Notamacropus eugenii: one gene and its partners. The protein of the gene in region 3 interacts with the protein of the main gene of each other region in a pairwise test. Links are inferred from orthologs where the notes say so. Each region holds a gene or a part of one and is shown on either strand. Other genes may lie near its edges.

The links.
Region 1: the proteins of DAZAP2 (region 3) and SMAP2 interact in binary tests that used the Homo sapiens proteins (3 or more experiments, as listed by UniProt). The two-hybrid records come from large-scale screens. The link is inferred for Notamacropus eugenii from reciprocal best matches to the Homo sapiens genes DAZAP2 and SMAP2.
Region 2: the proteins of DAZAP2 (region 3) and BATF2 interact in binary tests that used the Homo sapiens proteins (3 or more experiments, as listed by UniProt). The two-hybrid records come from large-scale screens. The link is inferred for Notamacropus eugenii from reciprocal best matches to the Homo sapiens genes DAZAP2 and BATF2.
Region 4: the proteins of DAZAP2 (region 3) and EXD3 interact in binary tests that used the Homo sapiens proteins (3 or more experiments, as listed by UniProt). The two-hybrid records come from large-scale screens. The link is inferred for Notamacropus eugenii from reciprocal best matches to the Homo sapiens genes DAZAP2 and EXD3.

What each region holds. Positions count from the first base shown.
Region 1 is NC_092876.1:78,638,513-78,645,674, forward strand, and holds the start of SMAP2 (stromal membrane-associated protein 2), read right to left. Parts: upstream 3,011-7,162; 5' UTR 2,551-3,010; coding exon 2,448-2,550; intron 1-2,447.
Region 2 is NC_092873.1:17,745,984-17,753,147, reverse strand, and holds the start of BATF2 (basic leucine zipper transcriptional factor ATF-like 2), read left to right. Parts: upstream 1-4,164; 5' UTR 4,165-4,403; coding exon 4,404-4,460; intron 4,461-5,968; coding exon 5,969-6,073; intron 6,074-7,164.
Region 3 is NC_092874.1:223,615,905-223,623,829, forward strand, and holds the start of DAZAP2 (DAZ-associated protein 2), read left to right. Parts: upstream 1-4,906; 5' UTR 4,907-5,091; coding exon 5,092-5,104; intron 5,105-5,462; exon of another isoform or gene 5,463-5,852; intron 5,853-7,130; coding exon 7,131-7,249; intron 7,250-7,671; coding exon 7,672-7,917; intron 7,918-7,925. UniProt on the Homo sapiens protein: In unstressed cells, promotes SIAH1-mediated polyubiquitination and degradation of the serine/threonine-protein kinase HIPK2, probably by acting as a loading factor that potentiates complex formation between HIPK2 and ubiquitin ligase SIAH1.
Region 4 is NC_092872.1:493,497,388-493,504,477, reverse strand, and holds the start of EXD3 (exonuclease mut-7 homolog), read right to left. Parts: upstream 3,010-7,090; 5' UTR 2,701-3,009; intron 1-2,700. Other genes in the region: NOXA1 (NADPH oxidase activator 1), read left to right, coding at 5,852-6,025. UniProt on the Homo sapiens protein: Possesses 3'-5' exoribonuclease activity. Required for 3'-end trimming of AGO1-bound miRNAs.

The DNA of each region.
Region 1 (7,162 bases), on a different chromosome or scaffold from region 3:
CTGGTCCTAGAGTCAGGTAAGCCTGAGGTCAAATCTAGCCTCAGATACTTATTAGGTGTGTGACCCTGGGCAAGTCACTTAAACTGTTTGCCTCAGTTTCCTCAACTGCAAAATAGGGATCATAACACTGCTAACCTTCCAGGTTGCTGAGGCTCAAATGATTTCATTCATTCCAATAAGGATCAACATTTGTAAAGTGCTCAGCACAGTGCCTGAGTAAGTAATGCTAGCTATCATTACCATTATTATTATTCAAGCTGGATGATCACTTGTTAAAGATAACAACAATTATTAAACAACTGCTATGCTCCTATTACTGAATTAAGCACTAAAGACACAGTTACAAAAATGAGACAGTTCCTGCCATCAAGTGCTGAGAGGACTACAATATGTTCAAAGATAAGTAAATACAGAATATAAGCAAAATAAATACACAATGATGGGGGAAAGGGTCACTGACAAGAGGCAAAATCAGGAAAAGGCCCTTGAGGGAAGCTGGCATTAGAGCTGAGCACTGAAGAGGGCTAGGGGGCTCCAAGAGATGGAAAGGAGGGAGAACATCTCAGACCAGGAGAACAGTCTATGGAAAGGCAGGAGATGGACCATCCTGTACAGGGAACAGCAAGGACACCAGCTTGGCTGGAGCCAGAGCTCAGTAAGGGAGAATCGTGTAATTAGCCTGGAAAGCCTGTAAAACTCTTCACACCCTGGCTTCAGCTTAAGAGATAATCAAAAGATTTAGACCTTAGAGAGCATCTAGTCCAGTCCCTCCATTTCAGAGAAGAAAATGGACCTTGATGGTGAGCCCAAGGTAGTGACTAATTTGGTAGGGCTAGGATATGAATCAGGAGGAAGTGTAGTAGAGTGGTAAGAACAAGAGCTTTGGAGTTAGAGGATCTGGGTTCAAAATTCACCTCTGACGCTAATTGCCAGTGTGACCTTGGGCTACTCATCTAGCCTCCCTTGGCCTCTATTTCCTCCTTTCAAATGAGGGGATCATATTACATGGCTTCTGATGTCCCTTCCAGCTCTGGCTATGTGATCCTATGAGGAGAAATGGGTCTTATCATGGAAATGGCATCTGACTCCTCCATCCCAGCAATAGAACTTCCGGTGGGTGATTCAGAATGAGGAACTGAGCAAAGCCAAGGCACCTCCCCCTAGCTGCAGGGAAATTCTAACAGAGAGAAGAAACTCATTAACAAGAGCCTACTTTTAACAAATTAATCCCAAGCAGTTTTTCAAATAAAGTCTGGTTTATGGCTACCCACCTTCCCATTGAGCCAGTTTTCACCAAGACATATTAATTCTTCCTCTTTCTATGAGGGGCAAGAAAAAGACATAGCATCTCCCTCCCCACTCCATTCACATGAAAACAAACAAGCAAACAAACAAAAAACACTTGCCTACTTGCCCTCTCCTTCCCTCCCTCCTCCCATAGAGCCAAAAAAACAATACATTTAGGTCTTTGGTTTATCCTCATGTTGAAAATGCCTGTGCAATTACTACATCCACTACCAGAGCATCCAGAGAAACTGATAGGGTCATTGGGCCCAATTTCAGGGAAATGCATTAAAAACAGCAGGACCGCCCCCCTTCCCCAACCCCACCCAGGAATTTCCATAACTCCTGCGTTATCAAGTATTCTGTAAAAGGAGGAACCGAGAACAATCCACCTCAAGCCCTTGCAGTCAATGTGTCCATTGCCAAGCAAGTGGCTGCGTATTTTTTTAGGCCAAACCCCCTGATTTATATTCCAATCAGCTGCTCCAGCTGGGTCTCTGAGGGTCGCCGGCAGATGGACGCTAGATGTTGGCATTGCTGGGTCACTGTACAATAACAGCGCTTCACCGGGCTTGGCCCTGCCGACACCACCAAGCAAACCCAATGTTATTTCTCTCTCCATCCACCAAACGGATCCTGCCCTACAGTCTGAACCTGTTTGTTACTGCCACCACCCACACTGGGCTCTCCCACGCTCCACCACCCTTATGAAGGTGAAGCGCCAGGGCCAAGACATCTGCAGTGTGTCACCGCATGAAGATGTTGCCCCACTGCACCGGACAACCAGGTGGATGGAAAGCCATCCAGCCTCGGGCACCAGCTCCGAGGCTATTCGTACTCGGAGTCCGTTCCAGCTCAGTATCTACGCTCCTGCGATCCCATCTCGGAAAGCGCACCCACACACACGCGCGCGCGCTCTCCATCCGTCCGTATGTACAACGCTGCCGGGCTGCAGAGAGCCTGCTTACTACTCTCTCCGGTGAGAGGTCAGCAGGGACCCGAGGGCGGCTTCATTCATTCATTCATTGGACCGACGTGTATGAAACGATCCCCGTACACAGAAGGCCCCGTCCCGGGCTCCGGGGCGGAGAGGCCAAGCTCGCCTAAGCCGGAGTCCCTGCCCTCTCGGAGGGGTCGCAAGAGGCCGGGTGCCCGGGGGTTACCTTTGGCCTGGCAGTCCGCACAGAACTTGTTCTCCTCCTCCAGCAGCAGGCCGGCCAGGACAGCCTGGTAGCGATCCACGTCCCTCACCGACTTGCCCGTCATGGCCACGCGCCCCCGCGACCCCTGCCCCGGGGGGAAGGAGGAGACCCGCTCCCCGCGCCCACCTGCGAGCCCCGAGGCCGGGGGAGGGGGGTCGCAGGTACCCCGGACACTGCCCCCCGCCGGGCCAAGCCCGGCCCAGCCCCGGCCCCGGCCCCCAAGAGCCGGGGGGGAAGGTTTCCCCCGAGCCCCTGTGGCTGGCGCCCCCTGTCGGCGCCGGCGAGGAAGGCCGCGCGCGGCTCCTCACAGCCCGGTGGGCGGTTAGGCCGGTAGCCCCCCGGCGGCTGAGGGGACCGGGAGGGCGGGGAGGCGAATGTTGGCGTCCCCGGGCCGGCTCCCGCTGCTTCCCGCCCCTGCTGGCCTGGCCGCCTCAGCGCCCACCCACCAGCCCAACCCAGGCGCCGCTGCCGCCGCCGCTGCTCTACTCCCCGGTTTCCCTGGCAGCTGCAGCCCCCGCCGCCCACTTCCGGCTCTTCTTCCTCCCTCCTTCCTTCCCACCCCCTCCCCTTCGCCTCACCTCGGGCCCCGCCCTCCGCTCCACATTGCGCCTGCGCGCCTGCCTACCAAGCTCCTGGCCGAGTTCCCCGGCCCCGCCCCTCAGGTCGAAGAGTCCCTCCTACTCTTGGCCCTACCACCGCACGGCGCTGTGCGTCACACAGGGTGGGAGTGGAGAGGTCTCACAGGAACCAATCCCTGGAGGGCAAAGGTGAGATGGGGGCGTGGCTTCATAAAGTCACGCCCCATAGGGGGTACCTTTGAAAAAGAATGAATGGAACTGGGCGGGAAAGGGAGGGGGTCGGGAGAATGGGGAGGCAAGGCAATGATTTGTCTAGTTACAGAGCCGGACTACGAAGCCAGGTCTTTTGACTTGTGCTAGTGCCTTCTTGTACTGCTCTTCTCCAGTTTATCCTGTATGTGTCTGGCTTATGCATTTTGCATGTTATCTCCTGTGAGCTTCTGGAGCCTTTTTTGGCTTTCCTCCGTATCCCCAGCACTTGGCACCAAAAATAAATTATGCCTAATAAATGCTTATTGACTGACTTCAAGTCCAACCACAAATGACAACACTCCATTGTCTACGCTTCTGCCCTCAGTCTAAAGGGAGCGAGGTGGAAGCAGGTAGACTCTAGATGAGTCCAGATGAAAGGAAGAGGGCGTGAGTCCTGCCATTAGAGAGCCTTGGACTGAGGGAAACGCAGCCTGGGTTGTAAATGCCTCGAGAGCAAGGTCTTTGTCATATCTGTTTTTGGAGGGAGACACACGAGTCAGGAAAAGGGGGAAAAAGGAGCATAGTACCAAAATCTTAGAACTGAAAGGGGCCTTGGCGCTCGTAGGTCACCTTTGATGTAGCCCGTGTAATCTTTTAAGCCTCGGTTTCTCAAGCTTATAAAGTCCTTTCTTATCTAAACTCCTATGGCACCAGGTCCTGTTCCTGACAGCTGATCACTCAGGACTAGGAGGGGCAGCACAGTATCATAGACATGAGCCATGGCTTGGAACCAGGGGATCTAAGTTAAAACCCCAGCGCTGCCGCTTCATACCTATGGGGCCTCCATCCAGAGAGTCTCTTAAATGTCTCTGGCTTCAGTTTCCTCATCTGTAGAATAAGGGAATTGTCCTGGAGGACTACCAAAGGTTCTTCCAGCTCTGAAACTTTCAGGTCTGACTGTGACTGCAACTTCTAGCGATGGGAAGCTCACCTTTCAAAATACATCTTAGTCCGTGGTTAGAAGAATCAAGTCAAGTCAACAAATAATTATTAAGTGCTTCCTTTGCGCCAGACACAGTGTTAAGCATTGGGGATACAAATATAAGAACAAAGAGAGACAGTTCCTGTCTTCAAGGATTTTCCATTCCAATGGAGGAAGACACTGTATCAAAAAAGCTAACAATTCGAGAGGAGAGGGAAAAGCATCTGGAACCATGATAGAGAAAGAAATCAGGAAAGCTTTTGTGTATATGGAACCCCACGCCTTTCTTACTATATAACTTCTGCTTATTCTGTAACCCTAGTTCTAAACAGAACAATCAACCAATAAGCAGTTATTAAACTCCTGCTGTGTCAGGCACTGAGCAAAGTCCTGGGGATACAAAGAAAGGCAAAAAACAGTCCTTGCCCTCAAAGCAATCTAACTGGGGAGATAACATGGAAACCAATTATACAAAGCAAGTTCTATGTGGGATAAATGGGAATAATTAAGAGGAGGAAGGCACTTTTTGTTTTGCCCTATGACAATCCTTAAGAAATTCAAAGACAGGATGTTTCCCTTAAGCCATCACTTCTCTGGGCTATTTAGCTGTGTATGTCTACAGTTGCTGAGTGGAACTAGGAAATAGAGCTAGACACTCTGACTCCAGCCAGTTCTTTGCCTGCATAATTCAGGGCTGGGGAACCTGTGGCACTGAGGCCACATACGCTCTTCTAGGGTGTGGCCTTTTGACTGAGTCCAAGTTTTGCAGAACAAATTCTTTTATTAAGCGGATGTGTTCTGTGGAGTTTGGATTCGGTTAAAGGGCCACATTTGAAGGACCTGAGGGGCTACATGTGGCCTTGAGGCTTGAACTCACTGGAACTAGTTGGTCCCCTATGCTTTCTTGAATGGCTGAGTTCAATGTCATTGATAACTTGCTAGATCACCAAATCTTTGAAAATAGAAGGGCTCCCAGAGTTTGCCTTGTCCAACCTGCTCCAGAACAAGAACCCCTTCCCTGGCATTCTCTTTAACTACAGATGGTTTTCTAGCCTCTGCTTGATGACCCTCGAAGGAGGGAGATGTCACATGATCTCCAAAGGCACCCCATTTTCTTTTGGGGCCTCTTTGATTTTCATGGTATTTGTCTTTCCTTCAGGCCTATTCAATCAATATGTACTTATCGCAGAGCCTGCTACGTAGTAGGCTTAGTAAATGTTTATTTAATGACTGATTGATTGCTTAAGGGCCTGCTCTGCACCAGGCATAGGAGACACAAAAACATAATGAAACAATCCCCACCCATAAAGAGCATTCTATGGGAGACTTGGGCTAGTCCAGATGTATACAAAATACCAAACAGATGGCAAGTGGCATTTAGGAGGTACAATGGGTAGATGGAACATCAGGCCTAGAATCAGGAAGACTTGAATTCAAATCCAGCCTCAGACACTTACTAACCATGTGACCTGGGCAAGTTATCTCAGTTTCCTCATCTGTAAAATGCACTGGAGAAGGAAATGGCAAACCACTCCAGTATTTTTTGTCAAGAAAACCCCAAATAGGGTCAAAAAGAGTCAGACAAGTGAACAGCATAGCGTGATTTGAGAGGAAAGGATTAGCAGCTGGCATGGGGGGGGCAAAAAGACCTCATGAAAAAGGTGGTGCTTAAGCTAAGTTTTGGAATTCTAAGAGGTGGAGATAAGGAAGGAGTGAATTCCAGGTATGGGAACAAAGACAATACATGGAATGAGGCATATGAGGAACAGTAACAAGGTCTGTTTAGTTGGACCACTATTAATTTTCAGAACAGAAAATGTACAATAAAGCTAGAGAAGCAGTCTGAGGACAGGCTGTGAAGAGCTACAAATGTCAAATAAAAATGTTAATGCTGAATCCTGGAAGTAATATGGAACCACTGGAATTTATTGAGTAGAGGAATGGTGTAGTAAGACTTATACTCTAGGAATATCATCTTAATTCTAGGATCACTTATTATCCCATGTAATTATGTCCAGTAGATTCACATTTTCAGGAAATCTGATGCTGGGTAAAGTTTTGCACCTCCTTTTTAATCTCCTTCCAAATCTTTCCTCACTGATACTTTTTAAAATTCTTATTTTAATTGCTCCCTGGAATTACGATTGACCTTGTGGCCAAACTGTGTTTTTGTTTGAGTCGTGGCTTATAAATGTTGTAGAATTACAGCTAGATCCCACTTAGTGAACAATGAATCCGTGAAGTGATAGTGTTGTTTTTTTAATTTGCACTATTTAAAATTTTAGTTATGTAAAATATGATCATTGGCTCCAACACAGTGGAAATATGCAGTGCAAATATGAATGATTTGACTACTTCATGGGATTCAGTATTTGAATTAATCAGGACCAAACTTCAGTATTCCTAGATCTGTAATATTTCTTTATCATCTTCTTTTCTTAACCCATTTTTTTTAGCCTTCCTTCCTGAATGAGAATTTGTGTCAAAATCTAATTCTATACGCTTCTGGAGGAAACGGTGTCACCTTGTCTGGTCCTGATCTGGGATATTGTCTAGGATACTGTCATTGCTTCCTCTAGGGTTCTACAAAAAACCTCAGGGGTAGCTCAGATCAACAACCTGAAAATTTTCAGCACAGGATGCTGCCTAATCTAGTTTGCCATCTAATAACTGCCTTCCCCGTCTGAGTTTTGTAGGCTCCCAAGTCCAGTTTGGAGTCTTGAAAACAAAGCTTTGCACTTGTCATAACTCCAGTAGACAGCTTCAGGCCCCAGTCCTAGTCTAGGTGCTGGAGGTCTCTAAGACCCTTGGGTCACAGCAACACAGCTGCCCCTGGTCTAAGCCCCCTTCCACGTACACAGCTGTAGACTCCCCAACCCAGGGCTGCCAGAAGTTTCCACAACCCTAGTCCTGATACAAGACAG
Region 2 (7,164 bases), on a different chromosome or scaffold from region 3:
CCCTTCTCTGCAGGGGCTGGGCTGGAAGCAGGTTTAGGAGTCACTGCTATTCCCAAGGCTTTGTAGCTCAGGGTGCTGGACTTTCTCTGTCAGGGTCTGAGGCAGGGGTGGGGAACTTGGGGCCTCAAGGCCACATGTTGCCCTCTAAGTCCTCAAGTGATACCCTTTGACAGAATGCAGACATCACAGAACAAGTCCCCTTAATAAAAAGATTTGTTTTGTAAAACTTGGACTCAGTTAAAGGGCCACACTTGAGGATCTAGAGGGCCACATGTGGCCTTTGAGGCTGCTAATTCTCCAACCCGGCATGGGACAATTGTAATGCCCCTTTCCACACCTGTGGGCCCCCACCTCTCTAACAAAAGAAGTGTGGTACTTTCTCCAACTCTTCTCTGGGGACAGAGTTCAACTCTGTTGGCCCTTTCTAGCAGAGATTTTATAAAATGTTCACAGTGACAAGACTGGTAAGGATGCAGTCAGGACTCTAAAGCCAGTCAGTCAATAAGCATTTATTAAGCCCTAACTGTGTGCCAGGACCTGTGCTAAACCCAGAATGCAAAGACAAATGGTAGTGGCTGCCCAGTCTGATGGGGATGGGGTGGGGGAGCAACCTGCAGATGAGTATGGCCAAGAATGCTTAGAGACAGGAAAGACTGGAGCTAAACTACAGAGGGAGAGCTCCAAGATTCTGGGGGCTGGGAACTGAGGAGGGAGAGGCTGATGGGTGGATGGATGGATAGATGGATGAATGGATGGATGCTAATAATCCACTAGGGAGCCACAGACCCACAGCTCTGGAGGGTCAAAGACAGCTTGGCATCTTCCAGTTGAACCCGGACCCTAAAGGACTCCTCCCCCTGATGTCCCTGACAAAAGGTCATTAGGCTCTTACTTGAGAACCTCCAAGGAGGAGGACTGCCCCCTATCCTCTTCCCACCCAGCCTGCATTACTTAAGTGATGCCAGGCTCTGTGCCCACTCCCCTCTGGGCAGCCTCTCATGTGAGGGAGTTTTTGCTGACCTCCAATCTAAGCATGACTGTTTGCAGTCCTGGTCCACTGCCCCTGGTTGTCCCCTTTGGGACCCAGGAAAATGAGCCCTTCCCAGTGTCCTTTGTGGGTGCATCAGCCCAGCATCCTGGAGGCAGGTCCCAAGAGTCTGGACAAAATGTAAAGGATTCCCAGGGACCCTTTAGTAAGTATAGGGAGCACCTCAGGGACTCCTAGGGGGCCACCCGATCATCACTCTGCTTCTCCTCCCTCTCTGGTCATCTTGGGGAAGCCCCCTGTCCTGAGCATAATAAAATCGGTTTATCTCACATTGGTCCTGATCAGCTAAGTTCCCCTGGACAAATCTACCCAGAGGAGGTTTAAAAAATATAGACCAAAGGTACCATGGCCTGTAAGCTCCTCAGGATGATGGTGGAAGGTGAGGCGGGACTCCCCTTGTGTCAAAGGTCCCAGCAAAGTCTCAGCTCCTGAGAAGCTCATCAGTCCCTCCCCTCAGCCTTCCTTGCCTTCCACCTTCCAAGACTCAAAGTCAGGGAATGCCCTGAAGGTCTGCAACCACGTCTCCCCTCACTCACAGTCTCTCCCTCTGGTCAGCCTAGTCTGTTGGCAGCAAGGCACCCTGTGGGGGAGACAAGGCAGGCTTACCAGCCCCTTACTACCCCCACCCCGAATCTAAGTGGGACCCACAGCTTCAGTGCCTTGGGGTTGAACTTGCCTGTTTCCCCCTGATGCCAGGAAGCAGGGAGCGAGGGCTCCCAGGGAAAGGCCTGTGATGTGGAAACAAAAGACAGCTAGTCATTTTTTTTTTCCACTCTACAAAAAAGGAGATATATAGCTTTAAAGGACCTTTACCTTTTTTAAAAAATAATTATAAAACGAATATTAAGTATCAATCAGTTAAACCTGTTTTGCAACTGTCTCTAATTAGATGAATTCCAGTATCAGTGTGGAAAGGTCTGGGCCTGGAGTCAGGAAGATGTGGGTTTGAATCTGGCCCCAGACACTGGCTGTGCAGCTTTGGGCACGTAACTGCTACGTGCCTCGCTTTCCTTCACTGTAAAAGGGGGATCATTATAGCACCGGTCTCCCCGGGATCAAATGAGCACTGTATAAATGAATGTTAGCTATAGCTAAATAAAAAAGGAGGGATATAAAATCAGTGAGGCCTAAGTGGGGAGATCTGGTCCTACCAGCCCCTGACTGATCCCCCTGTTTGGATAATGATGCCTGACATTATTATGTTTGATGATCACAAGGCCCCCAAGCTGTTTTACAGATGGGGAAACAGGCCCAGAGCGGTCACACAGGGGGTACCTTTGAGGAGCAGGATGTGGCTCAGGCCTTCTGACTCCAAGACCCAAGCTCTACCCATTATGCCAGGCTGACCCCCAACGTCAGCTACCTGAGAGCAGGCTTGATCAGTCTTCACAGTGCCACAGAGAAAGCGCTGAGGGCCAAGGCTGAGACAGGTGCCCAGGTTGCCCCTCCGGAGTTATGTCCTCACCAAGAGGGCCCCTCCTACCTACCAATGCATTAAACATGACCCTGGGCATGGAGGGAGAGACTGGGGGTAGCCCTGGGAGCCTTCCAGGCCCCGCTGTGATCCCAGGGAGATAGACTGAACAGGGAGCATCCTCTCTTGCCTGCTCCTGCCCCTCCATCCTACCCCACCCACCCTTAGACCCTGGGAGCTTGGGTAGGGCCAACCTTTAGACTCTCTCCCTGTCCTACACTGCAGCCTGGGGGAGCTGGGAATAGGGAGTGAGGCCAGAGGACCCTCGGTACTGGCCACACCCACACACGAAGTGCTGATTTCCTGCAGTTACATCATGCTCTGGCCACAAACGCAGCCTGGTGAGCCCTGAATTAGGCTGTTTAATCAGCCCCTTGGGAGGCAGGCGCTGTCTTCAGTAAGAATCTGATTTTTTCTTGTTTCTGGGGAGATCAAAAATTCAGATGTATATATTTCTATAAAGGGGTTCAGTCTGTCCTCCCCATGAAAAGAGCCTGCTAGGGGTCCCCTTCTGGGGTTTGGGGCATCAGAGACTCGTGGGGGCATCACAGATCATCCCCTTAATTTTGTAGACAAGGAAGTAACCCCCAGGGGGTACGGCACCCAGGGAATATCAGAATTTGAACCCAGCTGTCTGACTCCAACTCAATCCAGTAAGGTGTTCAAGGTGTCTCAATATCACTCTAATTCTAGAGTCCCTGAAGAGCCCCTGCCTGTTCTGGGGGCCTCCAATCCTGGGGTTTCCCAGGCCAGTCCCTGATTCCATACCCTCTCCTCCAGCAGAGGTCCCCTTGCCCCACCCAGAGCTTGGGCTGCCTATTCCAGCAAATAGAGATGACTATAACTGTTTCTCTGATTTCTAAGGATTTCCCAGCTTCCTCTCCCTTTGAACCTCAGACCTGCACTAGGTGGTGGGCAGGGCGGGGCAGGGGCTGTCCTCAAGTTCTAGGAGAGTGGGGGACTTCTGGCCCCAAGGCAGTAAGGCCTGCCTCAGTGGCTCTTTAGTGCAGGGCTCCCCTCTGGGAAAGCAAGCCAAGGAGAGAGACAACCGAAGGATGGCTGATCTCATCCCACAGGAGAGAACAGAGGCATAGCAGTGAGTCGCTGGCAGACACAGAGCCAGGACTTTCCTAGGCGTCCTGACTCAGGACTTCAGAGGGCATCCACTCTAAATCCCAAGAAACTGAGGCTCACAAGGTGACAGTCACACAGCTAGTAAGTATTAGGAGGTAGGATTTGAACACATGTCCTCCAGCTCCAGAGCCAAAGTTTCTTCTGCTGCACCCTCAACACTCTCACCCCAGGAAGGGACCTCAGGGACCCTGTTATCCAACCCTCTTATGTTACAAATGAGGACCCTGAGGCAGGCAGGTCACTGATTTTGGTCACAGCTAGCAACAGTAAGAGCTCAGACTCACACTGGTTTCTCCAGTCCCCAAGCCTTTTCCCTGCCCCTCCCTCGCTTTTCCTCTGACCACCAGACCATGATGGCAGCCCTAGTTCTTCTCTTCACAGACCCCAGGCTGCAGGGCTCTCTTGGGTTCTCCTCCTCAGGGCTTCTTCCCCTCCCTGCTGATCCTCTGTCTCTATCTTTCCCCAGGGAGCCTCTCTCTACCCACTGATCCCTGGCTGGCCCTCCCTAGCAGGCGGAAAGTTTGGTCATATTAGGAAAGTCCAGCCACGTGGGCACCCCAGGAGCCTGGGATTCTGAGCAGCCCGAGGGTTTCAGAGAAACTGAAACTGGACTCTGTGGGTGGAGTGGTCACCAGAGATTTAAAGGCTTTACTTCCTGCAGCTGGGGCTAGGAACTTGGAAGCTGCAGGCAGCAAGAGGACACCCTGCGTCTCTCATTCACCTGGCCCTCCTATCAGGAACCAGGACATGCACCTGTGCAGTGGGGCACCCCCTTCCCAGGAAGGGCAGCTTTTGCTGGTGACCGTGAGTAGCGGGGCAAAAGAGACAGGGTCCAGGAAAGGGGGAATCAGGAAGACCAGGCAAGATATGCCTTATTTAGGTGGTTTCCATTTGGGGATAAAAACCTGACCCCAGATCTCACACCTAAAGTTCTCCCTCCATCTGAGGGGCAGAGAGACAAGGTGGAGTCTAAGTTGGCAGACTTCTGTTCTAGCCCTGACTCTGCCACTGACTTTGTTCAGGGTCCTTCCCTGTGCCTCAGTTTCCCTTTCTGTACAATGAAGAGGTCTTCCCACCTCTATGAATCTAGAAAGTCAAATGTTCACCCCATCGAGGCCCCTGCCCCATCCCTGAACTTTGTTTTTTCTTTCAAAATTGATGTGTTTTTTTCTCTGCCTTAGCCCCGGTTCCTGTACTTTCACACCAGCACTGACTTCCTTTTTAACTCTTCCAGATAGTCTGCACCCCCTTTGCACTCACCGTTTGTTTATCTGTCAAATGTTAAGTGGATGGGGTGTTACAGGATGTTGAACTGAAGAGGCCCGGAGAGGCAGAGGCTGCCTCAGAGCCCAGGACTTCAGGCTTTGGGCTGCTCTCCTATCTTTTCTCCTAGTCTGATGCTGGAACAGGCTTGGGTTAAAATCTCATCACTAATATTTACTGGCTCTGTGATCCTGGGGAAGTCTGTTTACTCTTCCCAGACTCAGTTTCCTCATGTGTAAAATGAGGGTGATAATAGTACTTTCCTCTCTTGGCTGTGGGTGAGGCTCGAATGAGATAATATATGAAAAGTATTTTGCAAAATTCAGAGTGTTACAAAAGCCTTCCCTAAACTAGGCTCCTGAAATAGCTTCAGTGCTCAGAGGGGGGCATGGAGAACACAGGCGTTAAGGGCACCCACCTGGTTCCCCCTAACCTGCCTAATACACGTAACAACTAGTAATCATTACAGCTGGGAGGGAGCTGGGAACTCATTTAATGCAAGATCTTTTGTTTGGGAACCTGAGGCCCCAGATCAGTCAGTAGGTCAGTAAGCACTTAAGTGCCTACTGTGTGCTGGGCTTACAAAGAAAAGCTAAGTTGCCCTGAACCTGACAAGCCACCAGGTTCAAACAAGGCCTGAACAGAATTAATTAGAAATAATGATGAGAGAGCAAGGGTTGGGATTCAGAGAGGTTGGGAGAGGAAGGGCCTTGCCCATGCCACATGGGTGAAAGTAGCTAGGGACCAGCTCCTCTGGCCCCAGACCTCATTGCCTTCACCCTCCAGTAGCCCACGATGGGCAGCTATAGAAAACCTTTGCTTGGATTCATTGAACCTCTAAGATGTGCTGGTAAATGGTGCAGGGGAAGAGCACAGCAGATCCCTTTTCCAGAGGCTGAACCTGTCCACAATATTCCAATCAGGATGGGCTTCTTGGAGGAGGCAGGTATCCTAAGGGATGCCCTGGAGCAAGTCAGGGGCAAGGGTAGGTGAGCTCATCTCTGGCAGAAACCCAGCTCTGTGGTAGAGCAAGGACTTCTTGCCCCCAGGATCCCAGAGAAGTGGACAGACAGCTGAAGCGGAGACAGAAGAACCGGACAGCAGCCCAGCGGAGCCGGCAAAAGCACACGCATAAGGCAGATGAGCTACATCAGGTTTGGGTCCCCTCTACAACACTCTTAGGCTTTGCTTGAATACCTTGGGGAGTGGGGAGCTCACTACTTTGCCAGCCAGGTTTAGGTTAGGAAGCTTTCCCTGACATCGCTGTTCCTTGGCTCTATCACTCCAGTGTTGCTGTCTGGGGCCAAGCAGACAAGTCTGATCCCTCTCCCAGGGATTAGCTCTTCCAGGAGGCCTCAGTTTGGAGTCCAGAATCTGGGCTCTGTTCTGAGGCTGCTTCTCCCTGGATCCTGCAAAAGCCGCCCTGCATCATCCCTCGAAGCCACCCTTCTACAGCTCGTAAGGCAGGTCCTACCCGGATAGTGACCCCTATTTTAGGGGAGGAAACTGAGGTTGGTGAAGGGGATGTTCTCCAGCTCACATAGCTCTAGGGAAGCATCACAAACCATGCTCAGCTCAGCCTGTGGTTGGGGACTCAGCTCTAGGCTGCAGATTTTAGGAAGGATTCTGACAAACTGGAGACAGTTGGTAAGTGGAACCAGGAGGGCAGAGATCACGCACAGGAGGAGCTGGGGGTATTTAGCTTGGAGAATCAATTAATCCATCAATCAACATTTATTAAGCACCTACTATATACCAGGCAGGCACTGTGTTAAGTGTAGGAATACAAAAGGAGGCAAAAGATGGTTCCTGCTCTCAAGAAGTCCCCAGTTTCCTGGGAGAAGAGGGAGATTCCTCTCCAGAGGAAAAGGTATCAGACTCACTCCCCTTGGCTACAGAGAACAGAGCCTGGAGCACTGGGGGGAATGGGCTAAAAAGGGGGAAGGGCTGCCTAAGGATCCAGCTCAGCAGGTTAATGACCTCACCAAGTTCGGAGGGGTGCTGAGGGACCAGCCACCAGGCATAGTGTGGTGCAGGGGGAGCTCCAGGCTGGAGACAAAAACCCAAGGACCAGCCACCAGGCATGGTGTGGTGGTGGGGCAGCTCCAGGCTGGAGACAAAGACCCGAGGACCAGCCACCAGGCATGTTGTTAATAACACCAAGGACATCATTTATGGAGTGCTTTAAGATCCACTAGGACTGAACTTGGATCTTCCCCTTTGGTTCTTTTTGGGAGATCTTTTG
Region 3 (7,925 bases):
CTAGTTTCCCTAGCTTCCTTTAAATCTCAGCTAAAACTCCACTTTCTGCAGAAAACTTTTCCTGATCCACCTTAATTCTACTGCTTTTCCTCTGTTCATTATCTCCAATTTATCCTATATGTGGCTTGTTTGTACATATTTGTTTTTACATTGTTTCTTCATTGGATTATAAGCTCTTTGAGAGAAGGGGTTGTATTTACCTTTCTTTATATCTCCAATGCTTAGCATAGTGCCAGGTACATAGTAGGAACTTAACTAATGTTTACTGACTGATGGATAAAAAGTTTTTTGACAGTTTCCAATTTTTTCTCCAAAGCTTAGTGAGATCTCCCCCAAGCTCCCATCCTGCAAATCTAGCTACCTGCTATATTGTCCTGCTGGCTTCTCAAACTCCAAACATCTAGCACTGAATATCTCATCTTCCACCATAAATCTGCCTCCTTCCAATTTTCTCAGTTCCTATTTATGGTGCTGCTTTCCTCTCAATGATTCAGGTTTGAAACCTCACAGTTATCTTTGACTCTAATCCCTCACTCCATCCCCACCCCCCAACTTCAGATAATAAAGGTCCTGTTGATTTTACTGCCACAATAACTCTAACATCTGTCCTTACCTTTCTTTGCTACTACCCTGGTTCAGGTCCTCATCCTTCCCTTTCTAGCTGGAACACTAATAGTATCCACCTAACTGGTTTCCCTGTTTGCAGGCTTCATTTTTCTAATCAGTCCTCTACACAGTTACAAAAATAATCTTCTTAAAACTCAGGTCTAATGATGTGATTTCTCTGCACAGAACTCTCTAGTGATTTCCCATTGCTTATAGAATGCGAACTCCTTAGCTTGGCATTTAAGGCAATTTATAATCTTGCTCCAACCTACTATTCTTGCCTTATTTCACACTTTTTGCTTCAAGTGAACTACATTCCAGCCAGACAGTATTATTAGCTATTCCTCAATTTGTTTTTACCCTCTTTCACTACAGAACTTTGAAGATCACCAGGGACTGAGCTGTTTAGGGAAGAAAGGCTCCATGGAAGCTGTAGAATGAACTGGACCTTGAAAAATGAACAAGATTTGATCAGACAGAGAGGGGAAAAAGAGAATATCAATGGGCAGGAATTAGAGAAGAAAAGATTTTAGAGGCTAGAAAATGCAAAGGTTTCTAGCTGGGAAGTGATAAAATAACAACAGTATCTCCATCCTTCTGGTCACCCAGGTTTGCAATCTTAGTGTCATCCTCAACTCTTCATTCTTCCTCAGCCCACTTAGTCATTCAGTTACTAAAATTTGTCCTTTTCATGTCTATAACCTCTCTCACTTCCTCTACTAGTCCCCTTTCTCTACTTCTACGGTCACTGGCCTCATTCACCATCACCTTACCTTTTCATTGGACTATTTCGGTCACTTTCTAATTGTTCCCTCTGCCTCAAGTCTCATCTTTCCAATTTCAAGGTTCATACAGAGGCCAATGTGATATTCCCAAAGCACAGATTTGATTATGTCATTCCCTTCTTCCATAAATTGCAAGGGCTCCCTGTAGGATCAAATACAAACTCCTCTCTTTAGAGTTCAAATCCCTTCACAACCTGCTTCCAACCTACTTCCCGGACTGATTAAGATTATTCCCCTTCATGCCTTCTATAGGTCAATTAAACTGGCCTCTTTGCTGTTCCCCACATTACACTCCATCTCCCATCTCAGTGCCTTTGCCCATGCCAGAAAGGACCTTGCCCCCTTCAGTTCTGCCTCTTAGAAATTCTGTCTTCTCGATTAGACTGTTCTCTGCTCCCTTCCACTGGTAGAGCCTCACTTCCAAAATTACCTCTATTTATTTTGTAAATGGCAGCTAGGTAGTGCTGTAGAAAGAATGCCAGGCCTGGAGTCAGAAAGACCTGACTTCAACTGCTACCTCAGACACTTACTAGCTGTGTGACCCTGGGCAAGTCACTTAACCCTGCTTGCCTCAGTTTCCTCATTTGTAAAATAAGCTGGAAAAGGAAATGGCAATCCACTCCAGTACCTTTGCCAAGAAAACTCCAGAATGGGGTCAAGAAGATTGAACACAAGTGTATGATAATTTTGCAAATATGCTGTATGTATTTACGTATATATTATTTCTCTGGTTGATTGACCAAATAACAACAGGCATTTTTTTCTTATAAAATTATATTTATTCAGTCTACAGAAGGTATGTTTGATTATTTGTATGAATCATGTTGCTTATTTTAATATTTTCAATGAACAAAAATCTGTTTCTTCCCCCTCTCCACCTCATTACATTGTGTGCTCCTTGAGGGCAAGGACTCATCAGGCCTTTTTGTGTTTCACCAGCACTTAGCACAGTGCCTGGCACCTAGTAGACAATAAATGCTGACTGACTCCTCTTCCCATTGAAAAGGAAGCAAAAACAAAACCTTTGTAACAAATACACACAGTCAAGCAAAATGAATCCCCACATCAGAAATGTGCAAAAACCCCATATCTCAATCTGTACCCTGGATCTATTACCTTTCTCAGGAAGTGAGGAGCATGTTTCATCATGAGTCATCCAGAACCATGGTTTGTCACTGTAAGAAGCGTTTTTAACTCTTCCTAAGCTATTTGTCTTTGTGATGTTGTTGTTACTGTATACATTGTTCCTCTGGTTCTGCCTACTTCATTCCACATCAGTTAATAGGAATCTTCCCAGGTTTCTCTGAGATTGTCCCCCTTATAAATTTTTACAGTACAGTAGTATTTCATGACATTCATATGCCATAATTTGTTCATCCATTCTCCAATTGATGGGCACTCTCTTAATTTTCTAGCTCTTTGCCAACACAAGAAGATCTTCTATAAAAACTTTATACATACGTATCTCTCACTTCTTTGGGAGTATGGCCCTACTATCAGAGGGAATGCATAAATTAATCAGTTTTGTGGTATAGTTTTAAGTTGCTTTCCAAAATGACTGGACCAGTTCAGAACTCTCCCAATAGTACATTACTGTACCTGTTTCCCCACAGCCCCTCCAGCATTTGTAATATATATATTTTTGGTCAGCCTTGGGTATGAGAACCTCCAAGATGCTCTAATTTGAATTTCTCTATTAATGATTAGGAATATTTTTTCATATGGTTATTTATAGCTTGGACTTTTTCCTCAAAAAAATGACAACAGGCTTTTATTAAGCTACTGCAAGGTGATCAAATCTGTCAGTACTTAAATTAATTCAGACTACTCATTGGAAGGACTGAAACTGAAACTTAAATGCTTTGGCCATAAGAAGAACTCACTGGAAAAGACCTTGGGGTTGGGAAAGATTGAAGGTAAAAAGGGGAGGGGGAGAGCAGAGAATGAGATGGATAGCATTATAGAAACAATAAACATGAGCTTGGATGGACTTTGGGAGATGGTAGAGGACAGAAGTGGCTGGCATGCTACTGTCCATACGTCTTGGATATGACTGAATAAATGAACAATACATGCTCGGTACTGTACCAGGTGCTAGGGATACAGTGACATTTTTTTGTAGATCTTGCCCTCAAGGAACTTACATTCTCTGGGAAGGATATGACATGTACATATAAAATAATTTGAGGAGCGATAGAGTATTAAAAGTTAGGTAACATAGGAAAAAAATTGACCTGGAACATGGCACTGAACTGAGCCTTGAAGGCAGCTAAGACTTTGAAGGAGAGGGGAGAAGTAAATGCATTCCAGGAATGAGGGGCCGCCTATGGAAACACATGAATGTGGGAGTGGACATGCTTGGTCAGTGAAGGAGGCCAGACTGTCTGTGGCCCGGTGGTTCAGGCTCAGGACTGGGATGAACTGAAATGCCTGAAGGCTATATGACCATAAACTAAAGAAATCTACTCAGTAGTGGCCTAGAAAGGATGCTAGTCACCAAGGATACAGCTTGGCTCAGGTGGACCCAGGTCCTTGGAGCTCCCCAGTTTCCCCGGGGACCCCACGCAGTCAGGAAGGTGTATTGTCTCAAGTGGGGGGAGTCTCGCGAAGCTTAGGCCCCCCAACAACTCCTGTCCTAGGCTGTCTTCCTTTACGTGACAGGCGAGTTAAGTCAAAGCCTCAAGCTTTAGTCCTCTCGCAAACAAACGTCCAGAACGGCTTCGCTGCTTTAGGGACGAGGATCTTCCCCCGGTGACGTGCGGCTCTGAATGACCTTGACCTTGGAGCAGGAGGTCAAGGACTAGCCCCGCAGCGGGGCCCGGCCAGGTGCTCGGTCCCCCAGCACTTACTAAACTCTGACGTGCGCCAGGCTTCGAACCAGGACAAGAACGTCCGGCTCTCGTGAAGCTCCCGGCGTGCGGGGAAGGGGCCTGCACGCACCGCTTGTCCGGAGCCGTTTGCGTGCTACATGTATCCATCTGGAAAGAACACGCATGCGTATAGCCCGCAGCTGTTCGCCCGTAACACACAGAGACGTGTATGTGTATGTACACACACGTGCGTGTATCTGTGTATCCACCGGATGAACGGGGGGTAATGTGGGACGGCAGCACCGAGACGGGGAGGAAGGGAAAGGAGCCCAGGCGTGCTGGCTTCACGAGGAGACAGGAATAAACCTTTCTAAAACGAAACTCATTTTGTGGCTTTACCAAAGTCACCAGGCGTCCGTTTCCTCCTTTGTGAAATGGGGGTGGGGTGGGGGTTGAATCGAGGGCGCCGTTTCCTTCGTGTCGGCGTGGGCGGAGCTAAACTGGGAAGGCTTCTCGGAGGAAGCCACCCGGGAAGGGTTAGGGAGAGGCAGGGACGGGCGCTGGCCGGCCCAGCCCCAGCCTCCGAGTGGCCCGAGGCGGAGCGGGTAGACCGGGCCCGCGAGGTTGGGACTGCAGGGCGGGGCCGGGGTGGGTCGGAGAGGGGAGGGCCCAGGCAGGCCCGACACCCCCAGCTCAGTCCTGACCCTGGAGACACCGCCCGGGGGCGGGGCTTCCGGTGGCGGCGCAGGAGGGGTTGGGGGGGGGGTCACCAGGACGTCCCGTGACTCTGGGAGGACGGCGCGTCACATGACACGGAAGTGACTTGGAACAGGAAGAGGACGAAAAAAACACCGTCCGCAGCCCCAAGCCGAACCGGACCCGCCGCCGCCATGAACAGCAAAGGCAAGAGCGGACAGGGGGCGAAGCCGGCGGGGCAGGGCCGGGGGCCGGCCGGCCGGGGGCCTCGGGGAGCCGTAGGCCCGGACGGGGGCCGGCCGCCTTCGTCGCTGAGGGGCCAGGCCCCGGGCCCGCGTCGCGCTCGCTCCCGGTCGAGGCCCCGAGCCACGGCCGCTCGCCCCCTCCCTGAGCTTTTTCCCTTAAAGCCTGTGGCGCAGTTCTGAGCTGCAGGGGGGCCGGGGCGGGATGGGCAGGCCGCGAGGCCAATGGGGAGCGAGGGCTCCGATGGGGCTTGGCCAATGAGAAGCCGGACGGGGGCGGGACCGAGAGCTGCCTGGTGACGGGCGCCCCCCATCCCTCCTCCGGCCTGGGGGAGCTGGAGGGGGAGCGTCGGTGCCTTTGGGGGAGGGCTGGGCTCTAGGGGCCGCGGTCTGGGGCTGCTCGCTTTGCTGCCGGCCTCCCTTTTCTTGATAGCTGTGAATGTGTCGGTTAAATCGGCCCAGCACCGGCGCGAGCCCCCTCCGGGGGTCGGGGCGCCCTCCGCCCCTCTCCCTGGATTGTTCTATTGTCTGGGAAGCCCTTCTAACGGGGCCTGGCCGGGGAGGGGAAGGAGCCCAGATTGGGGTTCAGGTCTGAGGCCCACCGTGTGACCTTGGGCAAGTTACTCCACTTCCCGGATCCAGAGTGCCCTCTAACCATTAGGCTCCCAATAACGACCAATAATTGTCACTATAGGTGGCATTTGGATAGTCTGGTAAGGAGTGCGGACCGGTCAGCTTACCTGGGCCTCAGTTTACTCCTCTGTAAAACAGTGGCAAAGTCGGTTGACTTATTTTTCGCTTTTTAAAGCAAAATGTTTATTTGTAAATGACATTCGCATTTAACAGAACTGGACGCAAACCCTTTTTACAAATTAAAAGGGATAGGGATGTGGCTTCTTCCATTGCTTTTAGGCTAATACTCGGAAGTAATTAACACCTGCCTCCCAGATTTGTCTTAAGGATCGAATGAAATGAGAAGTGTAAAGTGCTTTGCAAACCCTCAAGGGTTTGCAGTGATTTCTTGTTATTATTTGGCCCTCACCACGATTCTACGATGTAGGTGCTGCTGTTTTCCCCATTTTATGCAGATGAAGGAACTTGAGGCACAGAAAGGTGAAGTGATCTGTCCAGGGTTATGACAGGATTTGAGCTCCGAGCTTTGGCTCCTTGTCCAGTGCTCTAGATAAGATAATTGGCTTAGGTGATCCTAGGTCCCTAAGGTCTATTCCATTTCAAGATCCTCTTATTCTTCCCTGGTGGGGGAAAACCGCTGGTGTGGTGGTAGGCCATGATGGGCTTTGGAAGTTGTGCTGGAGTTACAGGATATATATGCAAATCCTGGCTCAGACATTTATTAGCTGTGTGACCTTGGGTATGTCATTTAAGGTTTCTGGGGCTCAGTTTCCTCATCTGTAAAATCAGGGATTTGGACCATTTCTATCTCTTAATCTATGTATGATCTAGCGGCTTCTGCATCTGCTAAATCTCCTCTTTCTGAAGTTGACCTTGAAGGTCATTGTAGACCTTTGGATCCAGGCAAGAAACCCATCCAAATCTAGACACCTGACTAGGATGATTAGTAAGGCCAACCCTGGAGCCAGGGATCCCTTACTAATTGATATGAGTACATCCCATCTCCTATCCTTACCGGTACCTAGAAGTCCTCCAGCTTCAGAGAGAGCCGAGAATAATCAGAAGAGTTCCTATTCATAAGGTGTTTTCCTTGAAACTGACTGGACACACTCCCCCCGCATATTCCTGTAGAGTAGATTGTACAATTCCCAGCCTGGGCCTATCAGAATCCCTAATCTGTAGCTGCAAGATAGTACCTTCTTCCCCCTTCCCCTGTTTGTTCCGCTGCATCATCCCTTTCCAAGCTGTTTGTCAGACCCCACTTCTAGGGGTCTGCACAGCTGTGTGAGTCTTTGGGCAGCGTGCCCTCTCTCTGGCCACATATGATTCCACTACACGTGCCTTTTTGTGTCTTCTAGGGCAGTATCCAACGCAGCCCACATACCCTGTGCAGCCTCCTGGAAATCCAGTGTACCCTCAAACCATGCATCTCCCTCAGGTTCCACCATACACGGATGCACCTCCAGCCTATTCTGAGGTAAGAGTGTCAAGATTTTTAGGTGTTGGAGCAGGCCGAAATCATGTGCCACCATTGCCCTGTCTTTATAGAGGGTTAGAATTTCAGAAACAGTGGCATGAATGAAAAAAATCATTGCTATTGGGTTGAAGATGTGTTATCTAATGAAAGCCCTGGGTAGGGGGTAGTGAGAGCAGAGCAGTATGGGAGGGGGGAGGTGATGATGGTGACTGTAACAACCCTGACATCTCTCCTTAGGCTCTCCCTCATTGGGGAGAGGGTCTTGAGAGCAGGCTCAGAGGTAGGGGGAGGGAGGCTATGATTAAGACATTTGCTGGCTTCATAAGTGACATAGTTTCTACTGGAGAATTGAACGTTGACTATTAAAATACAAAATAAATACCGTAGGAAATAAACTGGTTTTTTCTTCTGCCCCTTTTTAGCTCTATCGTCCAAACTTTGTGCACCCAGGGACTGCAACAGTTCCCACTATGTCAGCTGCATATCCTGGTGCTTCTTTGTTTCTTCCCATGGGTCAGTCTGTGGCTGTTGGGCCTGTTGGCTCTGCTGTACCACTGGCTTACTATCCACTTGGTCACGTATACCCCCCGGGTTCAACAGTGCTGGTGGATGGAGCATATGATCCTGGTGCCAGGTTTGGAGCTGGGGCTACTGCTGGGAACATTCCTGTGAGTAT
Region 4 (7,090 bases), on a different chromosome or scaffold from region 3:
TGGGAAAACAGATACTAATGCACTATTGGTGGAGTTGTGAATTAATTTAATCATTATGTAAAAAAACTGGGAACTATGCCCAAAGGCCTACAAAACCACGCATACCCTTTGACCTAGCAATATAACTACTCAGTCTGTATCCCAAATGAGATTTTTTAAAAAAGGAAAAGGACCTATACATACAAAAATATTTATAGCTGCTATTTTCTGGTGGCAAAGAATTGGAAATTGAGGAGATGTCCCTTAATTTGTGCTTTAAGAAATGATGAGCAGGATGCTCTCAGAAAAACATAGAAAAGACATGGAAAAAACATGGAGAGACTTACATGAACCGATGCAAATGAGCAGAGCTAGGAGAACATTGTACACAGTACAGCAATATTGTATGATGATCTACTATGAATAACTTAGCTATTCTCAGCAATACAATGATCCAAAACAATTCTGTAGAACTTATGATGCAAGGTACTGTCCAGCACCAGAGAAAGAACTAGTAGAGCCTAAATGTAATCAAAGATACTCTTTCTTTATTTTTCTTGAAGGTTTTTTGTCTGTGTTTTCTTTCACAGAATGACTTACAAGGAAGTGTGTTTTGCATGACTATGAATATGTATAACCTATGTCAAATTGTTTGCCTTCTCAATGGGGTGGGGAGGGGAGGGAGGGAGAGAATTTGGAACTCAAAATTTGGGGGGAAATGTTAAAATTGTTTTCACATGTAATTGGGAAAAATAAAATATCAAATAAGTTTTTTTTTAATCAACAGGAAAAATTAGTACTAAGAAACGTCTCCTTAAACTGTTTTACATGCACTATATTTAGTAGTGATTAAAATTATTTGGCTAGAATTGGAAGAACTCTCAGAAATTGTCTAGTACAATCTTTTTACTGAGATGCGCTAAGGTGAAATGATTTATGATCAAGCCTGCCAGTTAAGGACTGCACTAAGAACCTCATTCTTCTGCCCCCCACGTCCAGTGTTCTTTCCAGTATACACACACAAATAGCTCTTTTAAATGTTAAATATTCTTTCTGTGGTCTTTAGAATCAGAGCGCGTAAAGCTAAATGGGATCACAGAGACCATCTAATCCAACCTCATAAGTGACTTTGCCAAAAGTCATAGAGCAAGGCAGAGGAAAAGACAAGCCTAAAGCCTGAATCTGCTGGCTCCCAATTGAGGCACCTTTCCACTAAACCATTCAGCCACTCTGAAGAGAACCATTCATTTGCCAATAAGTACTTTTCTTTACGTGTGGGACTAACACAAATTTCTGGCCAGCCCAAATATAATGGAAAGAGTCAAAAAATCTGGTTCAAATATTGGTTATCACTTACTACTCTGCAAGTCCCTAAACCTCAATTTACTGATCTGAAAAAAAGGGGGGGAGGGGAGTTGGACTGGATGGCCTCTGGGGTCCTGTCTAACGCTGAATCTGTAACTACATAAAATAACTAGAAATTCTAAAATAATACAGGCTCCACAGGTTCTTTCTGCATCCTGCCTATCACTGTTAGAAAATGTTAAATAAAATGTCAAAAAATGCCACAGTACATTTGGACATTTAATTGAATTACACAGGCTGTGCCCTCAGGGACAGACGCTGCTCCCGGTACGGACGTTTGTCCGTCCTTGCGGCAGAGGGAATCAGGCTGAAGCAGGGAGGGCTGCGCCACAGGAGCCATGTGGGGCCCGGGGCCGGGGCAGGTCAGGACAGCTGGAGACGGGCTGGCTGCAGGGGAGACCTTGGCCTCGGCTGTCTGAGGCAACACCCGTCCAGTGGTTAGGGCAGGTAAGGGATGGGGCAAAGAATGGCCTCTTTCACCCATCAGTCTGGGAGAGGAAGACCCTCAGGGACGGCGCCAATACAGACCCAGGGGCTCTTCCTGGTCTCTGAGTCCGGTGGGTGCCACCAGGGTCCACACCACTGTCCTCCCAAGACTGCACTGACACCTTACGGCCACGCTGGACATGGCAGCCCCGCTGAGACCTGGATCCTCGTCCCGCTCTCCACGGGGGGTTACCCGCACGTTCTTTCCAACAATCTCATACCCAGGCACCGACGGGGGCAAGGCTTTGTTCTGGGCTGGAAAGAACGGGGATGGCACAGCAATGGCACAGCCCCTGCTCCCAGGGAGCTTTCAACCCAGCAGGAAGGAGGACACCCAAATACATAAAAATACAAGCCAAAATTTGGTTGTGTGGAGGGGTCGAACAAAGTGTTCTGAGAAATTAAAGCAGAAGGGAAATCAAGACTTGGGGAGCGGGGGCTGGGGGAGGAGGCGCGGAGGGACGGGAGGGAGGGGAAGGCTTCTCGGAGGAGGCGGCCCCGGGGCTGCACGGGGTCGAGCCGAGGATGCGTCTGGGCGGTGACCGCCCCGGACCACGCCCGGAATCTGGACGCTCCCTCGGGAGCTCACCGGGCTCTAGGAATTGGGACCCGGGGCCGAAGGCGGGGGAGGGGCTCGGGGACCCCTGAACAGACCCCCCCATCCCCCCAGCCTAGCAGCCCCGTGGCCCCCCACAATCACACGGTCCCCTAGACCCCTCCCTCCGACGCCCCCACCCACACCGCCCGGAGGCTCCCCAACTCTTTCACACAGGCGCCCTGGCGGGCCCCAGAGCCGCGATCTCCGGGCCAGGGCCCTCCGGGCCCCGTGTCCCCACGTCCCCGTGTCCCCGTGTGCCCGCGGCCACTCACGTGGAGCCGGCGTTCGGAGCCCGCGGGGCGGCGCCCTCTCCCCTCCCGGCAGCGGAACGTCGGCGGCGGGGCGGCGGCGGAGCCGTGCACCGGAATGGCGCCGGACCGCTTTTCCGGGGGCACCGAAGCCGGGCCGAGCGCTGCTGAGGGCAGGAAGGCCCCAACGGCACCCCAGCGGCTCCCCAGAACTCGGGCCTAGCCTGTGGGCGTGGACCGCTCCGGACCGGGAGGCCCTGTGTCCCCAGCGGCGGGGTGGGGCCCTCCGGGAAGTGCCGACCTGGCCGCCGCCTGGTGCAGCGCCCTCAGGGGCCCCCACATCCTGTCCTCTTAGGCCCCCCATGTTGTTCCCCTTAGCCCCCCCCACTCGTGTCTCGGAGCCCCCTCATATCGCGGCTCCTCGTGCTCCATCCCTCTAAATCCCCCCTTATCTTGTCCCCCCAAGAGTCCTTCCACATCCTGATCCATTAGTCCTCCTGCATCCTGCCCTCTCAGCCCCCAGAGACTCCGTCCTCTGCCCTCCTAAATCCCCCCAATCCCCTACACTCTGTTCCCTGCAGGTCCCCCCACATCGTTGTGTTCCATCCAGTCTTCCTGTATCCAGCCCCCAGCCCCCTCAGTCCCTCTACACCCTGTCCCCCCAGCATCTCCCCACACTGTCACTCTAAATCCCCCATATTCTGTTCCCTGCAGTCCCCCCACTCCATTCAGTCTTCCCATAGTCTGTCTCCTCAGTCTCTCAACGTTCTATACTGTTTCCCTCAGACAACCCCCACCATGGCCTTATTATTCCCCCCCAGACCCTGTTTCCCTTCCACTCCCTCCTCCAGGCCTCAACCCCCTCAAAGACCCCCTCTGTGCCCTCCCCCACAATCCTCATATTTCAGATACCCAGGCCCCCTCCTGAGACCTTCCCCCTCAGAGCTCTCCCACCCCAGATTCCTGGGGAATCCCAGGCTAGAAACCCACCTCTCATGCTGACTAGCTCTGTGACCATGGGTCTACATGACCTCTCTCAACCCCAGTTTCCTCTTTTAGAAAATATGGGTGATGATACCGGTAGTATCTGCCTCACAGGGTTGTAAGGATCCAAAGAGACTGTGTAGGATGTATGTGTGTGTGGGTGTCTACACACGTATATACATATACATACATATATATACTGTCATTATTACTATTCCAGCCACCGAGTCTCCTCCAAATATCCCAACCCAAAAAAGGACTAGAGTGCTACCCCCTCATATACAAACATTTTCTTCCATGTTAGACTTCTCGCTCTACATCCCTAATTGGTCTCCACCACCCCAGGGACATCAGATACACACACACACACACACACACACACACACACACACACACATGCACGTTTACGTGTCTCCCTAACATGCCCTTGTTCACCTCAGAAAGAGATGGTGGGGGCGGGAGAGGAAAGAAGAAATAGCATTGTATATAGCACCTATTGTGGGCCAGGAACAGGGCTAGACACTTACAGATATCTTATTTAGCCTTCACAACAACCCTGAGAGGTGGGTGCTGTGTTATTCCCACTTCACAGTTAGGGAAACAGACAAGCTAAGCAACTTGCTCAGGGTCACTCAGGCTGCATTTGAAGCCCAGGCCCAGTGCTATATCCACTCTACCACCTAGCTAACCAGGTAGAACATGAAGGACTTTGTTCTAAGCACTCGGCTGAAATTGGAGGATATAAACGGGACCCAGCCTCAAAGGCTTATATTCTAGTGGAGAAAGACTGTGTAAAAGGAAGTTGAAGTGGGAGGAGAAAAACCCAGGCTGGGGCAAAGGTGACTGGTGAGATGACTAGTAAGGACAGAGAAATCCAGATTTGCTGAGAGTGAAGTGAACATGGCTGGGGCCCCTAATGAAATGGTGGTTGTGGCTAGGGACACAGCAATCAGCAAAGCTGTCCTCAGAGCAGAGCTATCTCCAGTGTGAGATTGCTACTGAGGAGAAGGTGGAGAATTCAGAGTGAATGGAGCCCGAAATAAAGAGCATGGGTGCCCCTAATAAAATACAATCTGATAGGACCCAGTCCTCTGAAGCCTATTAGATCTAGAATCAAGACTCCTGAATCCATACAGGTGCCTTGATTAATCTTCATATACCAGATTCCTCTTAAAATAGCTCTCCCTGCTACACCCCATATCTCAGAGAATTTCCCCCATATTATATTCTCTTCAGGCCCTTCAGAGACCTTCATCCTCTTGAAGTCCTCACCAAATGCATTTCTATTCTGTCTTTTTTTATAACTGCCCTTCTGTCCTGTCCCACCCATATACACACATAGCCCACTCCCCTCACAGATATTTTTCCACACATGAACCTTCTCTCCCCTCACCCCATCTGCCTCATCCCCATGCATAATTCCTCCCCATCCCATGACCATAAAGTAACCAAATGAAATCCTTTTCCATTTTAGTTAGTAAACTTCAATCTGATTATTGTTTTCAAATCTAAACTGCTTCCTTAAAATACTCTCAGCTCATGACAGGGACTTAAATGTGAAGGAGGACAGGGGCAGTGGCTGTCAAGTCTTCCTAAAAAAAAAAAAATGAACCAGAAGCTTCTTGTCCTCCTCTGTCCTTTAGAGATGGGGCCAAGACCCTCCTCCCCCTCCCACAAAACACGCATCACACAGAGCAGCTTGATAGCAGGTGTTTCATCACTCAGCTCTGCCACAGGTAGAAACTACAGGTGAGAGTCTATACAGAATATGAAGAGCTGTCTAAAAGCCAGACATTTTATCATTATTCATAGCCCACCCCCACAACAGCCACTGGAAACAGGATCTTTTCTCTAGCTCTAAAAGACAGGTGTTCCCCAGACCTCAGCACCTGAAAGATCCTTTCAGCCAGCCCCCTTTCACTCCCCTTTCCACACACACACACACACACACACACACACACACACATGAATACACACACACACATACCTCCACCTCTTACTAGGTAAACAGAAAGGGGCTTTACTTCCTGCTCAGCCCAGATTCTCACCCTGGTAAGGCTGCCTTCTAAGGAGTGTCAGGCACAATCCTCTCACAACCTCACAGCTGTAAGGTGCTCAGTCAATACCTTCTCAAAGAGCTCTTTATTTCCCCCAGGGTAGCTAGGCCAGCTCCACTGTAGGGTCATCCTTAATGTCATACAGTGATTTGGTGAAGGGCTGGCATGAAGCTGTCCAGGCTGTGGATAGGAAGGACTGGGATTTGGCCTTGGAACTATTCTCCAGAATTGAAGAGCCTTCTTCCAAGATCTGCTTCAACATGGGCTGTGTGCACCTGCTAACTGGAAATCCAGAGGCAGCCCTGCAGGTGAGTGGGCAAAGGAATGGGAGGGATGCTAGTGAGGCCTAGGATTATATCCCAAACCTTATAGCTCAGACATCCAAAGCCTGAGATCAGGACGAATTAGCACCCCAACCTCCTGAGTATCCTATAACTTCTAGAAAAGATGGGGTCATGGAGATGTGAAAGGAGAAAAGAGAGAATCTGAATGAGAGGAGGCCATTCACTCAAAACACACCCCACCAGGCACACACTGTATTTCCCAATCCAGAATTGACTGCTCCCAGCTTCCCCATCCATAAGGGCACAATATGGGGTAAAGAGAGTCAGATCTAAACTAAAATACAATGACTTACTTGGAAACGTGTTTTGTATGACTACAGATGTATAACATGTCATATTGCTAGCTTTCTCAATGGGGAAGAGAGGGGTAGGGAGAGAGAGAATTTGGAAATTTGAAAAAAGGATGTTAAAATTGTTTTTATGTATTATTGGGGGGAAATAAAATATTAAATTTTTTAAAAAGAAAATAAAGTTCTCAAAAAAATATAAAATGCAATTAAACCAAATATTTATTGAGGTTGAATCTAGTAGCACCTGAAGTTTTTGCTTCCTTATGAGACAGTGTCCGATCCATCAGTGGGCATATGGATGAAGCCATTCTGAAAGACAAACATGAAGCACCATGCCTAGAACAACAGATACTTAGTGAATGTTTGTTGAATAGAGTTGAATCAGATGGACCAGGGAATGGTTCTCCAATGTTTCCTACTGGTGCTATAAAGAGACTAGGCAAATCCACACAAAATATTTTGGCCATCTTCTTGAGTTCCCATGGGTGATAGGAATAACTTGAAAGTTGGAATGGGTATGCAGGTGAGGATGACAAGACAGGCTGAGAGGAGAACAAACATAATACTTAGAATATAACCCAACCATAAAAACTTTAGATGCATTCTGGCCCCTTTTCCATGCTGTGGGCAGAAGATGTTTTAGTCATATTGGTTTTTTAATACATCTCATCTCCTAGGCACACTACCCCCAGGACTGAGTCATGTTCTTCTGTGGTAAAAGATTACAAGAGTAATTGTG